Neodiprion lecontei: one gene and its partner. The protein of the gene in region 1 purifies or fractionates together with the protein of each later gene. This does not show direct contact. Links are inferred from orthologs where the notes say so. Each region holds a gene or a part of one and is shown on either strand. Other genes may lie near its edges.

Region 1 (8,425 bases):
TTTTGCAATAATTAATTACCTAAGTGTTTGAAATTTTTATTATTTTTTTTTTTTTATCAGGATATTTATTGTATTTTGCTCTCTCATGCAGGCAGAGATATCGAGATAATGTATGATCTATTTAAAACAAATCATCACCGAAACCCATGTTCGAGACATGTGGTAATTATACATAAATAGATCTTTATATTGTTGATCATGATATTTAATTAGCCCGCTGCATCATCGATATGTGAGGAATGGCGATTAGCGTCTTGTATTCATTCTCTATTCATTTATTCATGTGTTTATAAGTAACTTTTTACCATCGACGCGAGAAACGGTAACTGGTTGCGGAAATTTTGGGCATTTACGGAGAGAGGTATATGCTAAATAATCAATACGTTAATTATAATACATCAACAGTTTATTCCATAACATTTTATTGACATTTAGCCTTGATTAGAGGCAGTGATAAATTTTCCAATATCCAGAAACAAATTGAACCTATCGTGCTTTAAAGTTTTGTGAAATGCTATTTTTATACACATGATTATTTCGAGGAATAAAAGTAGAATGCTATAATTCCATAATTATTAATACAAAAATTATATTACAATAAACTATTTTTCTTCCATTCATAAACTTCGATTGACTGCTGAACTAAAAATCATAAATTTTTTTCCGAAATTTGAAGAAGTCTTTGAACATTATAATCAGTGAAAAGTCATTTTGTTCAAATATTCTATTCAATTTAAACTCATGACAGCAGAAATTAAATATGTCAACTATTTACAATAGCGACAACCACGTTATGATGTATCCATAATTTTTTTTACTAAGTTGAACTTCATATTTCTACTGGGTTCGAAGTAATTATTAAATTGTGCACGCTATATTTCCGAAATTCAAACAAATCGTATTGTTAGGAATCAACATTTGATTACAATGCAGCAGATTCGAGCAATTTTTCATAACACACAAAGGAACTTGCTCTTTTTACTATGGAATGTTTCAAAATTTTGATAATCGTCCCATCTACAGATGGGAAAAAGCTATTATCCGCGATAAAATGAAACAAAATTAGCATAGTGTTGATAAAAGTTCTTGATAATATTGTAATTATTGGTAATTGTCAATACGCAGTCTGCAATGATTCAATCCCGATAGTGAAGTTATTTAGCAAATTGATAAAAGCAAAGTTGCTAATCAATTGTATCACATATACACGGTATAAAAATCTACTTGCATAAGATTGCATCGGTGGTTGATTGATTTCACTCGTAAAAGACACTGCGAGCTGATTATTGAACACAAACTATAAAGTAGTATCAAGTTGGAGAATTCTAAATATAGATTACACTGTTATTTGGGTTCGGGTAATAAAATCTCGCTCATTATCGATGCGACGTGGTAAAATTGCAGACTCTCAGATTTGTGATAAAATTTTTCTATTCACACGTTTCGTCGAATTGTTACACATCATCAAAAGCAGTAAACTCTTTCTGGATATCTATAATCCAGTAAACTCATACTTGTACATTTTTTTTTTATCGGTTTAACCAAGCAGCACCACGAAATAGTGATATTATTTTTCACTACTACTTCCCGGAATATTTTCTTTCCTTTTCTGAGCAATCCATTCCTCTATTTTGTCTTTCAATTCCGTATCCGATTTCACCATATCCATCGTCAACATCGATCGATTGAAGGGATCCGTCTGGTCACTTAACAAGTGTCTAAAAATTTGCGAAGTATTCATGAATCTTTCACATTGCTATTAAATTTCGTAATAACAAAGTTAGGCCATCGATGCAATATGGTTGATTTCAGCTGCGACGAACCTTGCAATAGTTTGGCGATCCACTACAATCTTTGAAGACGGTAAAATGACTGGATCTGTCATTAGCGTGGACATAATCGGGTCTAAAAACTCGTCAGGGGCACCAGAAAGTATTTCTTCCTCTTGTTTTTTCTGATTAGCAGCTTCCTCGACCCGTTTTGCAAACTGGTCAAGATCCCCAAGTATCCCGCCACCTCCGATGCGTACTATTTGATTAGGAGCATTTAGACAATTTTCAGGATAATATTATGTCTTTTATTATCTTCAATACCTACCTAGAACATTTTCCGCGAGTTTGAATAATTCCGGACTGTAGGAACGTCCGTCTTGAGAAACGGCCAGTGTAAAAGCTTCGTTGTGACTCAGGTTTATGTATATCTTGCAGATATTTAAGACCAAATTTGCCGGTTTGAAGTCGTATTCTTTCTGATCCTTGACCTAGTAATAGATCCACTACGTTATACTGAGAAATTGCGTCAATTACGCGTCTCATCTCACCTTAAGATTTTTCTGATTAGGTCCGACTAATTGCAGCAGTAGATAATTGAGCATCGAAGCGATGCGATCGACCATAGTGGGATGACAGAAAATGGATATAATCTCAGAAGTGAGCATTTCCAAAGTGTGTATGGTTTCTCTGCCGAGAATATTGTCAAATCTGGCTATCATACCGATATGTGTCAGATATCCCATCTGTTGCTCTCTTTCGTGCGGCGGAAGTTTATCCCACTCGCCATTTTCTCTGATATTGAATAAATCGCTTGGTCATGTTATAATAAACATCTCCAGATTACTTGCTGCAAAACTTTACGCTCACCTTGCCTGGAATAGTTGCTTGAGTTGTGCCATATTCGAGAGTGCTTCATCGAGGAGAAATACCGCGTCGTTCATAAGTAAATTCATGAATCTGAGAAACAGTGGTGGCTGCACTGCTTCCATGTTTTGTTCAGCCTCTTTAGCCAGTTGCCTGTGCACACATCCCGCATGAATTGACTACATTTTATTCAGTATTATTTTTAAGAGCTCCTCTTTACATTCACACTTACTTGAAATTATTCCTGTGTTCCTGTATTTTCCATAAATAATCCATAACTATGTACATTGGTCGTCGATAGTTAAATTTCTGTTCAAATTGAACGCTCTGACCTGTCATCTCGATTCCCACAAATACTTGGAGCAAATTTGTAACTATCTAAATGAGAAATTACAAGGAGATATTAATCGTCTGTATGGTCATCCAGTTTCACAAGACTTTTCAAAGAAGCGTGCGAAGTGATTTCAAAGTAATAACCAACTTTCCATCCATCCCATTCAAGAATATAATTACGTTGTACTAACCTGATGTCTGTGGGGATGAGTAACAAATAATTGCTCTCTGTGAAAAACTCCCAGCGCAGCTACCGCTTGATTTGAGGGTTCCTCGTTTAAAGGTAAGAGCGCTTCGAGTCCTTCGGCGAGTCTCGCACGAAGGTGAGGGTTATATAAACGCCGTTGAGACTCCATCAGCGCGACGACCTATTTGATTGAATTAAATCACTTTATAAGGTTTTCCAACGGAATATAAAAGCAAAGTTCTTACCTCTGTTAGGATTGGGTTCAAAAAGCTCGGTCCTTGTTCTTCGAACGTGTTTGGATTCAAACGTCGCAAAAAGCAGAGAAATCCGACGGTATTTTCGACCACAAATTCGGGAATGCATCTTAGAGTTTCTGGCACAGTCTCAGGTAGCGGGAACGCGACGGTTTTAAATTCTCTTGGTGCATAAGTACTATGCTTAATGAAATCAGACTCAATATCCAGATTGACCTGTATTAGCCAGACTGCCGTCGCAGCGTGGAATTTTGCCAGTAGACTCAGCATCTCAGGCGCCAAAAGACTAGCTCTAAGCGATAAGTATCTGGAAAATTTAAAATTTTTTATTGACCTGGTCTGAGGGATTCATCTTCCAAGCCCCTGCTTACTTACTCACTTACTTTGTCATTTCCATTTCCATTCGCGTGGTTATAGCCTCTAGTACTTCAGAGTTTCCACCACCCTGAGCATCGCTGTATATCCGCCGCATACGAGCCAAGTCCTGATTTGCTCTGCAAAATAGTAGAGTACTTTGAGCAGGTTGTATTTTGGACAATGATTTTAGCATATAAAGTTTGTTGCACATGTTTAGCACACCTCAAGAGTTTCTCCAAAACAACACGGTATCCGAGATCCAATGCTCTATGAGTCAGGTAAAAACATTCAGTAACAAAACCGAATGTTTCAGCTGCTGGTCGCGTTTCACCTTCGGGTATTGGAATGAGACATGTTTCTCCACTTAAACCTTTGGCGTGAAGACCACGTGTCTTACTTTCTTCTTCATTTTGAGCCTAGGAAAAAGAATGTCCGAATATTAGCTGTGAATTAGACGCGATTCTTAAATATTAACAGAAATTCTTTGAACGGGACTAGCCTACCTCGACCGAACAGTAAGTTGGATCGATTTTCAGCAGTTTGCTATCGTTCAACTTTGTGCAAAAGGGCTGGCAAAGCCTGAGCAATATTGAGCTGAGATTTAACATGAAACCATCGGATACAGTCAGCGTCATAGTCAGTCCAGCATCGCTATGCGAATTCCAGAGCTTTCCTCTCCCAGCGTTGGCATGGAGGCAATCGCCTATCCATTTTAAAGTTTTGTGGCGCACATCTGTGGAACACTTTAGTAAAGTGTGAAAAACTTTATGTAGCGATTCGCTAAGCGCATCCAACGCTGTCCAGATATTTCCTTCCATAGAAGTAACTGACTTTAAACAAGAAAAAGTAATCTGTTATTGAATCGACCATTCGAATTGAAATCGAGTTGCAGCGATAATTGTTTCTTTTTGCTCACCTGTTGCAAAGGTTTGTCAAAGAAGTCAAACGGAGCTTCGAGAGTTTTGGGCAAACAGCTTAGACACAGCAGTGCCCCCAACAGCGTATCTGAATACGCTTTTCCTTGCATAGCACGAGGAGTGCTGTGCGATATGAGAAACAAGGCGAGACCTTCAACAGAAGCAAACGTCTGTAGAAGTCCGAACCAGTATTGTCGAAAAACTAAGAGATTGGACTGTGCCACCTCCTGATGAATGCTGTTCAGGATTGGCGTGAAAGCTGTGCTGATCACACTGAGGCTTTCATCCCTATCCTCGGAGTTTAACTCGTTGACAATGTCTGTTACAAAGGAGGTCAACTCCTGTCCAACTACTCCACCGTCCATAAACAATGCTATAAATTGCTTGTGCACCTGTGAATATAATTTTAAAATGATATACGAAATTAGAATTTCAAGGTGTATAGATTTCAGGTAATAAACAAATCACGAACCTCTTGACTTTGGAATAAGTCAGGTTCCTGCATAGCAGTGCCAACATTCCTGACGACGATTCGTGTGATGTTTTCTATCGTATCGTGCAATCTATGGCTTGGTTTATAGCGCAGTAATCTGCGATAACTTTCGTACAAATAGGGTATAATTTCAGTCTCTGAAACATGATCGTCGATAGAGTTTGTTTGTTTTTCATTTTTATTGTCAACTATTTTGGCTCCTGGATTGCTGAGCATAAGTCGTTCAAAAATAGCGTGCTCAACCGACTCAGCATCCATCCAATCTTGAGGGGCCAAAGCAGCGGCTAAGTCCTCAAGAAAGACCAGCTGTCGTCCAGATTTTATTTTAGCTCCATCCGAATGCAGCGTCAAGCCGAAAACTTCCTCAACTATGTCGTTAATGAAAGCATCAGCTTCGGCTGCTGTGTTGATTGGTTTAGAACCGTTGACGCTGTTACTCTCCGCTGTCGAATGTTCGTCAGTATTTTTTGATACGTCTGCATGGACTGTCGAAGGTTGGTTTTGGGTAGAAAATGAAGCTGCTTCGTTTACGGATGTAAAAAGACCCGCAAACGGATTGTGATTCACATTTTCACACATTGTCGGTGGAGCGATTTTACTATACAGATTACGTTCTAGCTATCATGCTAGGAGTTAAGCTGCAACAGACAGAGATAACGTAATTGTTATCGGAGTATCGTGTGTACAGGATAGATCTTAGGTTATGATGGTTATTTACGTAACATAATGGTGTAATGACTTGAAAATTTTTGTAAACTATTGAGGTGTCTCAGTTACGTTACCTCTATAGACCTCGCGTTGGTGGTGTCAATATTTTTTAAGGTCTTTAATCGTCATTGTCCGATGTTTACCATTTTGACAAATCATTTTTTTGACGTCATAATCCTTAACCCCTGCTACACAAATTATATAGAGATCAGTACTGTCCGTAAACAATTCCTTACCGTTATTAAAAATTCGCACAGAGTGCAGCACGTGTAGCGACTTTTATCAGAGATGAGTAGCGAGATGTGTCATTTCGTATAATTTTATTGTTTGCATCCTTCGGATAAAGCTCACAAAATCGTATCAAAACACTGTTTTATATATATTTGGATACCATGTATGCATGTTTGTATTATATATTATTAATGTATATGCACGTGGTAATAATGACGTTGGGATGGATGTGAACTTAGAACATGATGTGAATTTGAATGTACGTTCGATACCGCTCGAAAAACAAATTTCATCGGTGTGACATTGGCTGCGAGTCGGTTAGTTCGTTTATTCGAATCAGTGACGCCGTCGGTTCGGATGTCGGGAATTCGGCGTGGTCCGATTCTTATAAACTAATTAATAACGCGTAAATCACTTCAATTTATCGTTGTAAGTAATTTCTAAATTCAAAAATAAAGTCGCGAGCACAGAAGGTGGTTGTGTGACGTCACCACTGGCCTGAACTTTCTAGATCGTTCAGTTCTAGATACGATTTCAACGAGCTTGGATGTCTCCCGATGTCGGACGCCGGAATATGTATGAAAATCACGGGATAATCATATTATCGCGGTGAGTTATTGAATATGAACCGATAAAATTCATCTATAGAGTAATTTTCCGTGGCTGGTAAAGTTATTTGTAAACATCCAACAATATTTCACGTGAAAACCGGTCGAAGAAAAAGTTGCAACAACTTGTTGCCCAGTGCTGTGACAGTGCATGACGAATGAAAATTCTTGTTCTTATATTTCGTTCGAAAAATTGGTCCATCGATACCGAATCGACATAAATATCTTAGTATCTGCGTAAATTTGAAGGAATTCGTCAGGTTATTTTGATCAAAGAGTTTTTTTTTTTTACGCGGAAGGTTGTGCCATCGCTGTAGAGGTATAAACGGTGAATAAACAATCAACAAATGACCGTCATGTTGTCAACTTATTGTCGGTAACTAAATACTGTGGCAGTGGTTTCATAAAAGGAAAGATATGTGCAATATAAACGACGTGATCGACGTGATGTGTCGCAGTTTACGTTCAATCGTCGGGTGACATTCAGAGTTGTTTACTACAGGTTCGGTAATTCGGAATATTGCTCTCGCGTTGAGAGCATTAATTGAGTGCGCATTTGAAGATGGTTTATTTTTATTCGTGTGGTAAGAAGTGATGTGCATCTTCGACGTGTTCGTCGGTACTTCGGTTCAGTGAATCGGTGAAATTATTTGTGGCAGCGGGACGAGAGGATTAACGAGGATGTCATCAATACTGCAGTTTGTACATGAAGGTAAAAATATTTTGATGAATATATATTGTGGAATATTCGCAGTATTACGGGAGGGAGAAAAATCAGAAGATTGAAGTTAGTAACGTTATTGCATTGAAAAATTGGGAAAATAATCACTGTTTTCTTGTTAAATTTCAACATAAGAGTATGTTTTGTTTTATTACGGTTTACCAAAAAAAAAAAGTTTGTGAAAAATTGTTACGATAGCGTTACTAACTTCAGCATCGTAAGAAATAATGAAAAATTTCAATAAACCAAAACACGGAGGTGAGTACGCCTGTATATAGGCAATATCCTATCACGTATGGGACAATTGAAAATCGCGCTGCTGCCTGTCCAATAATAGCTCACTTCACGTCGCTACTTATGGAGGGAAGTTTAAAGTATAAATTATATGTCGTTGCGATTTCAACTTGTTTAGTTAATTTCCTATTATGTGTAAATTTGGTAGGTTTCTGGAAATATAATGGGCGAATACAACATTGTAGGGCTAACAATTGCGTTTAATAACAAAAAAAATGACAAGGCACTGTACGGAATTATTTCAGCAGTATGAAATTTTGTACAAAAACATATGACTTAGACTTTTTAATGTAAAGGCACCGTTATGGTTTTTCATCTCCAAGGTTTTCGAACGGTTCCTGCACTCGTACTTCGCTTTATTCCGTGATCTGTGAAAGAATTAAAAAGTGGAATATGAAAATGACAGATATTTATGATATTGTAGTTAATTGATTATGAAAAATTTTGTAAATTCTTACAAATATTTTGAGACCGTTTTTCTCTGGAGTTTGATGTCCATGTTTGACATCTGCTCCTGGCTGAACAAGTGCGACTACTTATAGGAGGAGAGGAAAAATTTCCCATCCTAAAAGTAACCAAGAAGGAAAAATGATTTAGCAAAGAAATTTCTGAAAAACATTTCACTCCAGTAAAGCATTAGATGCATTTCACTTAATAAATCATAATTTCATTTACTTTCATGAAGC
Region 2 (6,511 bases), on another chromosome or scaffold:
AATGTAGATTCAACTCCAAAAAAAGTGCTGTCCTTATATTCACCAGGGGTGTTGTAAGATCTAAAAAAAATTTCTTTCCACGTGTCTGCTGACAATCATTAGCGAATACGAGAAAATTTTTAAAATCTGAGATGATGTCCGTGCTTTTCTCACTATAGCTGTCCCTGAGAAAACAAACTACAGGGTTAGTCAGTGCAGTGAAAGATGATCCGAAAAAGATGTTCACCGAAGAAACTGCAGGGTGCACATGCTTTAACTCGCAAGTGTCTAGTGATTAGAGAATCTGATTTACTGCCTGGACGCTTGACCCTTGAAACATGTCGACCCAAACACCAATTATCCGTAAAATTATTAAACACTTGAAATATTCGATATCAGATTTCAGCCCGCGCCGCACCTGGAATACATTAGGTAGTGTAACAATTCTTTCCGAAGAGAAAAAACACTGTCCGACAGAGGTATGTGGTTTAATAAAAGGTTTAATTATTGCGGTGTATGGTTCTCGGTAATTAACAGAATTGTTCTTTTGCGTTAATTGAATAATTTATATTTATTTGAATAATTTTTTGGTTTTTTCAATTCAACTTACCTAAATTGAATTTCTTTCTTCAATTTTCACGATAGGAATGTATGTATAATATATGCCTTACTTTCGTTTTTATTATGCTTCTGCATACACGCACATACATATAAAGATATTTATATATAATTATGTATACATTTCTGACGTAACTTTCATTTTTCACATTAGACGACTATTGTAGTTTTAGAAATAAAAATAATAATTCTCGTACTCCTTGAATAATAATACATTTTCATCCTTTTTCAATGTCAAATATTGAGAGTGACATAAACCAATATATCCACAAACGGGCGTTATGCATCTACTGTTAGTGAACTTGAAAATTTCAGCCTGGTTTTAATATCACCCAATCGTATGATAATTCAAAGAAATTTAATATCAATCCGTATCGAATCAAAAAGTATTGAATATATTATAATGAGTAGGTATGTAATAATGCCGCAATTTTTGTCTTTGCTTCATTATTCAATTTGCTTGATTGACATTAATATCTGTAATACAAACCGTCGCGACTTAAGTATTGATGAAGTTCATTGAAATCATACGTATAATAAGTGGTCATTCAGTTGGGGAACTAAATAACGGTAGTGGATATTAATACCTGGAAGGCAGAACGTTGTGATATTTTGAGAAACTGTAGTAAAATTGTTATTTCAAGGTAATGCAATGACAAATGCAGCTCTTTCAACACAGGAAAAAAAACTTCTCATACAATAATAATTTCGATAATTGTAAATGATTATTTATTATGTGGTTTATCTGTTAACAATAGATAAGATATAATATTAAGTTAGAATTGTTGCCGTTTTTTTGCGCCTTCGTTTTTGGAATCCAATCACCGTATTATAGAGAAAAAAATTATGGTAATTATACTCGTAGCAGCACTAAGCTTCGATTGTTCAACAACGGAAGAAACATGGTGTGGCTTATTAACGAGCTATAAGAACTGTTGACAATTTGTTTCTTGCACATTCGTTACACTTCATTACGAAAAAATGTAGGTAAGCACGTGTTCGTTTTACAATGTGATTCAATAAAAAATAGTCGTGAAAATAAATATCGAACTGGTTTTTCTTTTTTTTTCTGATGATTTTGCCTCAATCTAATCACTTCCGGTTTTAATCCTCTGACAACGTAATCGTATAATTATTCACGAATGATAATTTCAGACGACTTTTCAACGGATATTTGAACTTTCACATTTGCTGAGTAGAGTTTCCGTTCCAAGTGTTATTCTCATCATTATCCGGATCACCACCCGAGTGTAATCTATGCACGTTGCCCTGTGTCCTTATCGTTGCACTTCCTTGACCACCAATATTACGCCTTAGTAATCTGCAAGTAGAAAAAAAAATAGATAATTTTAAACGACTGGTCGCAATTGGTGTAATCGTAATAAAAAAAAGTTTTCATCTTTTATCATTATACTTTTGTGTCTCTTGATCTAGAACCACCCATCATTGGTGTTTAGTGACCAGAAAATATACTGTACAACACTAAAATCTCACCCAGCTGCTACACTTGGAGATGGTTCTGAATTGCCACTATCGGTATTGCTGGCAGTTGGATGAACCCCACCCGAAGTTGAACTAGAACTTTGGTGCTCTGCAGAAGATGCCGGAGGTCCGGTAAAATATCCCTTTATATAGCCGTACACAGAAAGTACACCCGCAAAAATTGCCCACATTAACCGCGACAAGTAGCCATCATCCTGGGCTGATGTTACCGCAGTCGTGCTGTTGGTCTGAAACAAGAAAAACAATAACATGGTTTCACCTTATTGCATAATCGTATAAGACATGTATGGAGATGCATCTTTGACTCCAAAGTTGACCACTCTGCTAAATTTCACTCGAAAATAGTAATTACAGCTGATGGAACGTACATTTCTTAGCGGCAGAATTAATATCACAGCTGTAGGAACCAATTCTAATTCAAGTAATGTTTTGGCATCATCGTCGACTGTTAGATCTCTTCTTGGAAACGATGTAGACAAAGCAAACTGTCTGAAGGGTAACTCGATGTTATCGAGAACATAAGAACGAAGAGCTCCAAGTGTACTTGTAGACTCGAACTGCCCCATGTGTGGATTGCCACTGGGTGGTCGAAATTGGATTCGCACGATTCCAGAGTCACTTGAAAGAGGTGTACGCGGTTTCGGCTGTTCCTGTATGGGAGTTTGTTGTCCGTACTGCCGCTGTGGATACGTGAAAGGTAAAGATAACATCTAAAAATGTATTTCATACTAACAGCTACAGCGTTCTTGAGAATTTTCGGATAGCAGATGAATACAAACCTGCTGATCAAGTTCCCTTTGCTTGCGTTCAAGCTTGTCTTGCATAATTTGCTGCCTGACTTTTTCCCTGGCAGCAGCTTCAGCTGCCTTTTCTTTCATTCTTTCATCATAGGCCTGCTTTATTTCTAATTCTTGCTGTTTCTGTTTTATCTTCAGCATTTCTTGCCCAGTTTTTCTCCTCTCAATTTCCCTTTCACGAACCTTCCTAGCCTCTTCTTCATCTCGCTGTCTTTTTTGCAGCTCAATGAGTCGTCGTGCTCGTTCAACCTTTTCCTAAAAACATTGACGCAGAATATTTTCAAGCGAACAGAATCTACTATCAATGAAATTTGTATCTCACAGTAAAATCGATCTCAATACCGTGTCTTTAACAATAATTAACATATTCTCAAAGATGTTTTCATGTGCACTCTTACTTCTGCTGTTAGCTCCGGTTTGTTAGTTGCTTCAGTAGCAGTTTGACTGGTGGATGGGGAATCCAGTTTTGCTGGGGCAGGCTTTATTTCAGTTTCAAGAATGTCTGGGATTACAGTTTTGTCCTCATTATCAATTTTGATTTCCTCTTTTGGAAGTTGCTGTGAGGTGGCAGGTATTGGCGCCATGCTTGTTCCCGATTCAGTTTTTTCTAAATCGATCGCGCTTATTTCTGTCTCACTATTCTTTAGAGAGCTTGTGCTACCTGCCGATGACTTTTGTTCAGCCTGAATAAAGCTTGTAGAAGAATCTTTTGACGTTGGATCAGCTTTTTTCAGAATTGTATCAATTTTCGATGTTAGATCGGCAACGCTCGTTTCCCCAGCTATTATCTCTATTGGTGTTCCATTTTGGCCGATGAAAAACATAGATGGAATTGGGACCAATTGATCTGAATGCCATTGTCAAGGTATAACTTTAAGTGGATATAACTTGATGTCAAATGGCTAAACTTCTTTTTAACTGAAACTCCATCCATGAATTGTAGGTCATGTGTCCAGCAAAATTTTCATGTTTCTGTAAATGAAGTAGTAGGAAAAAAGGATACAAATTTGTGTAAAGAATCCGTAGGATTCTGAGCCTCCCTCTAGTTTGACAGCAACAAAATCATCCCGCTCTAATCGAGATGAAATTTCTTCACTGTCAATTACTTTAGCAATTTTCGATGACGCGTCATCTTTTCCTACATGTATGCCGAGAACAAAATAAAGTTTGAATTACTTGAAGTTGTGCATTTCATGAGAAGTATTGAAGTAACAATATTGTTTTGCAGTATGTCGAAGAAAAGGAAGAAACGTATGACGAATTTCTAAAAATCATATAATAACGATGATTAAGCAAAAAAAAATTCGAACGAATATGGTGAAAGTGTTGACACATCTGTATCAACAAAATGATTATACAGTACACTTGCGAATTAAGCTGACAATGGATTAGACATTCAAATCTGAGGCAATTCGCCAAGCGATAGAAGTAAAATTTATGAAAAATATGCGAGAAGAAATATTCAGCAGAGACATAACCTTAAACATCAAACTACGAACCCTCAACGAACACAACAAAAATCGCCTTTCGCGATTTCGATGCCGCCACTGCCTCTGTAATATTTCCCTCGAACCACTTCATTTCCTAATTCTTGATTATCACTGAAAAAATATACGTGAATTCCTTTGCGAATATTGACACTGATGACGCAACGTCGAAAAGACGGCTGATAATCACACTAGAAATTTTGATGTGCCAAGTTGACGTTTCGCGTTTTGTGCACGACTTGTCTTCCTGTTGCTGGGGATTGATGATAGGTGCGCTGTAATCGAACTACCCAACAAATGACAACGATTGTTTTAAGAAATTACCCAACCTACTGCCGGGTGATTTCTTTTTTGATTATTGAATAAACATTCGTTATATGTAACAGTTGTAGCTAGTATTGCAGGCAAAACTGAAAAATATTTGGGATTATTCTGATGTGACCGAAGTACATGTCAATTAATTAAACTCTCAAATGATTCAACTGATTATTCCGACTTGAATCTCAAGTTAAAAATATATAGCCTGTCACCACAGTGAAAGTTAGATTTGAAATTGAGACTCATTTAACGACGTGTACGACATTCTATGACCTATATACGTTATATTATGCAGATAATTTTTTTTTTACCTATTTCGGTAGAACACATCTTAACAAATGAACGAGACAATATTGTTTTATCCAAATATCAATATTTATTGCTATCTGCTTGACAAAGGTTGCATTGCAGAGAGGCATCATTGTAGCAAAAATTGGTATAAATGACTCGGAAGTATCGTCTTATCATTTTTTCATGTTTTAACTCACACTTATTTTGTAGGATATACTAGTACATGCAGCATGAGCAAAATATATATTATTTATTTTTCATATATTTATGTAGATCTATATGTATTACATAAGTGTAGATTGCCTATGAATCTATATATATAAATATATTGACTAAATTTTTGTTACAGATGTTTCGTCCTGATATCCGTCGTGAACACCTGTTTATATTATTTATAATTTCTCGTCAAAATATTCGCAAATATCGTTATTATTACCATTATGATTGACTAACGTTCCTTAGACTTCGTGTACTGTTAGTGCTTCCAATTCATCTTCACCGGGACATAGCACCGAGTCAATATTATAAAAAGCAGCATGAATGGTTATCAAAAACCATGAAACCCCTAGAAATTACATACAGTGTTACGTTTTCGTTCTTCTGTAATTAGTTTATGGAGTATTTAAATGTGACTGTGTCAAAACTTACCCAAAACCCAAAATAAAGCAGCTCCTGCGCCAACAAGATAAAACAAAGGCAAAGAGCACGCAGCTACTAGGCCGTAAACTTGAGCTAGCGTTAACTTGTGACCAAGCAGTATTAATTCCTGCTTAGCGTGCCGTTGGGAAACTTTGAAGCAAATACCCAGGGATAAGACAACAGTGAGTAACAGAAGCGGCGAAGTAATTCTATAAAAATACAAAACGTTGTAAAAAAAATGGTCAAAATACTATTTACCATTGCTAATATCGTACCAATTTCTTTCAAACAATAACATAATTTGTAAATATTCTATAAAGATATAATAAACATGATGTCTTACAAACAATAGATAACCAGACCAAGGAACACGAATAAGTAATTGCTTTGAAAGTACTCAATATTCCTCATAATTCGTTTGGTAAGCCTAGAAAAACTTGGAGGTGCTCTGATGTTATTTGTGTTCAAGAATAAACTCCAGGGCCTAATGTTAGCCTGCCTTTGTTGCACCCACTGTTGAGCTTGAGGATAGCCCATTTGACCAAGAGGAAGTTGTGATAACTGTGGCAGTTCAAATCTGAAAAACAGGAATGGCAAAGAAACTCATTTGCAGGCCAGATTTCCAAGTCCGAGGCATAAAATTTTGAAAAAAGCTAAAAGATTCCCGAGATCACATTTATGATTAAAAAATGTGTCTGTAGTCATAGGGTGTGTCAAACGTAGTATTAAATTCCGAACTCGGTTGAAATTTTGTCAATGTAATTATCATTTTTTTTGACACAAAGAAGTAGAATTATCAGCGTCGTATTTATTGAATTAAATCAGACTGGAATACGCAAACCATAAATGTCCCGTATCATTGACAGCATTGACAGTAAA

What was found. The genes of interacting proteins can lie anywhere in the genome.
Region 2: the proteins of ubiquitin conjugation factor E4 A (region 1) and UBX domain-containing protein 4 purify together in Homo sapiens (affinity purification with mass spectrometry; 3 studies listed by BioGRID and IntAct, counting the BioPlex papers as one, with this or other methods). This does not show direct contact. The link is inferred for Neodiprion lecontei from reciprocal best matches to the Homo sapiens genes UBE4A and UBXN4.

Annotation. Positions count from the first base shown.
Region 1 is NC_060264.1:1,777,614-1,786,038, reverse strand, and holds ubiquitin conjugation factor E4 A, read right to left. Parts: upstream 6,116-8,425; 5' UTR 5,960-6,115; intron 5,816-5,959; 5' UTR 5,757-5,815; coding exon 5,157-5,756; intron 5,077-5,156; coding exon 4,684-5,076; intron 4,598-4,683; coding exon 4,271-4,597; intron 4,184-4,270; coding exon 3,990-4,183; intron 3,905-3,989; coding exon 3,794-3,904; intron 3,718-3,793; coding exon 3,402-3,717; intron 3,338-3,401; coding exon 3,161-3,337; intron 3,015-3,160; coding exon 2,869-3,014; intron 2,790-2,868; coding exon 2,640-2,789; intron 2,565-2,639; coding exon 2,321-2,564; intron 2,261-2,320; coding exon 2,098-2,260; intron 2,029-2,097; coding exon 1,824-2,028; intron 1,719-1,823; coding exon 1,568-1,718; 3' UTR 1,482-1,567; downstream 1-1,481. Other genes in the region: phosphoserine phosphatase, read left to right, coding at 1-11; uncharacterized protein LOC107220280, read right to left, coding at 8,052-8,107, 8,198-8,304.
Region 2 is NC_060263.1:33,915,353-33,921,863, reverse strand, and holds UBX domain-containing protein 4, read right to left. Parts: upstream 4,539-6,511; 5' UTR 4,479-4,538; coding exon 4,397-4,478; exon of another isoform or gene 4,396-4,396; intron 4,036-4,395; coding exon 3,901-4,035; intron 3,745-3,900; coding exon 3,296-3,744; intron 3,153-3,295; coding exon 2,880-3,152; intron 2,781-2,879; coding exon 2,469-2,780; intron 2,328-2,468; coding exon 2,092-2,327; intron 1,919-2,091; coding exon 1,780-1,918; 3' UTR 1,304-1,779; downstream 1-1,303. Other genes in the region: prenylated Rab acceptor protein 1, read right to left, coding at 5,452-5,558, 5,642-5,841, 5,976-6,209. UniProt on the Homo sapiens protein: Involved in endoplasmic reticulum-associated protein degradation (ERAD). Acts as a platform to recruit both UBQLN1 and VCP to the ER during ERAD.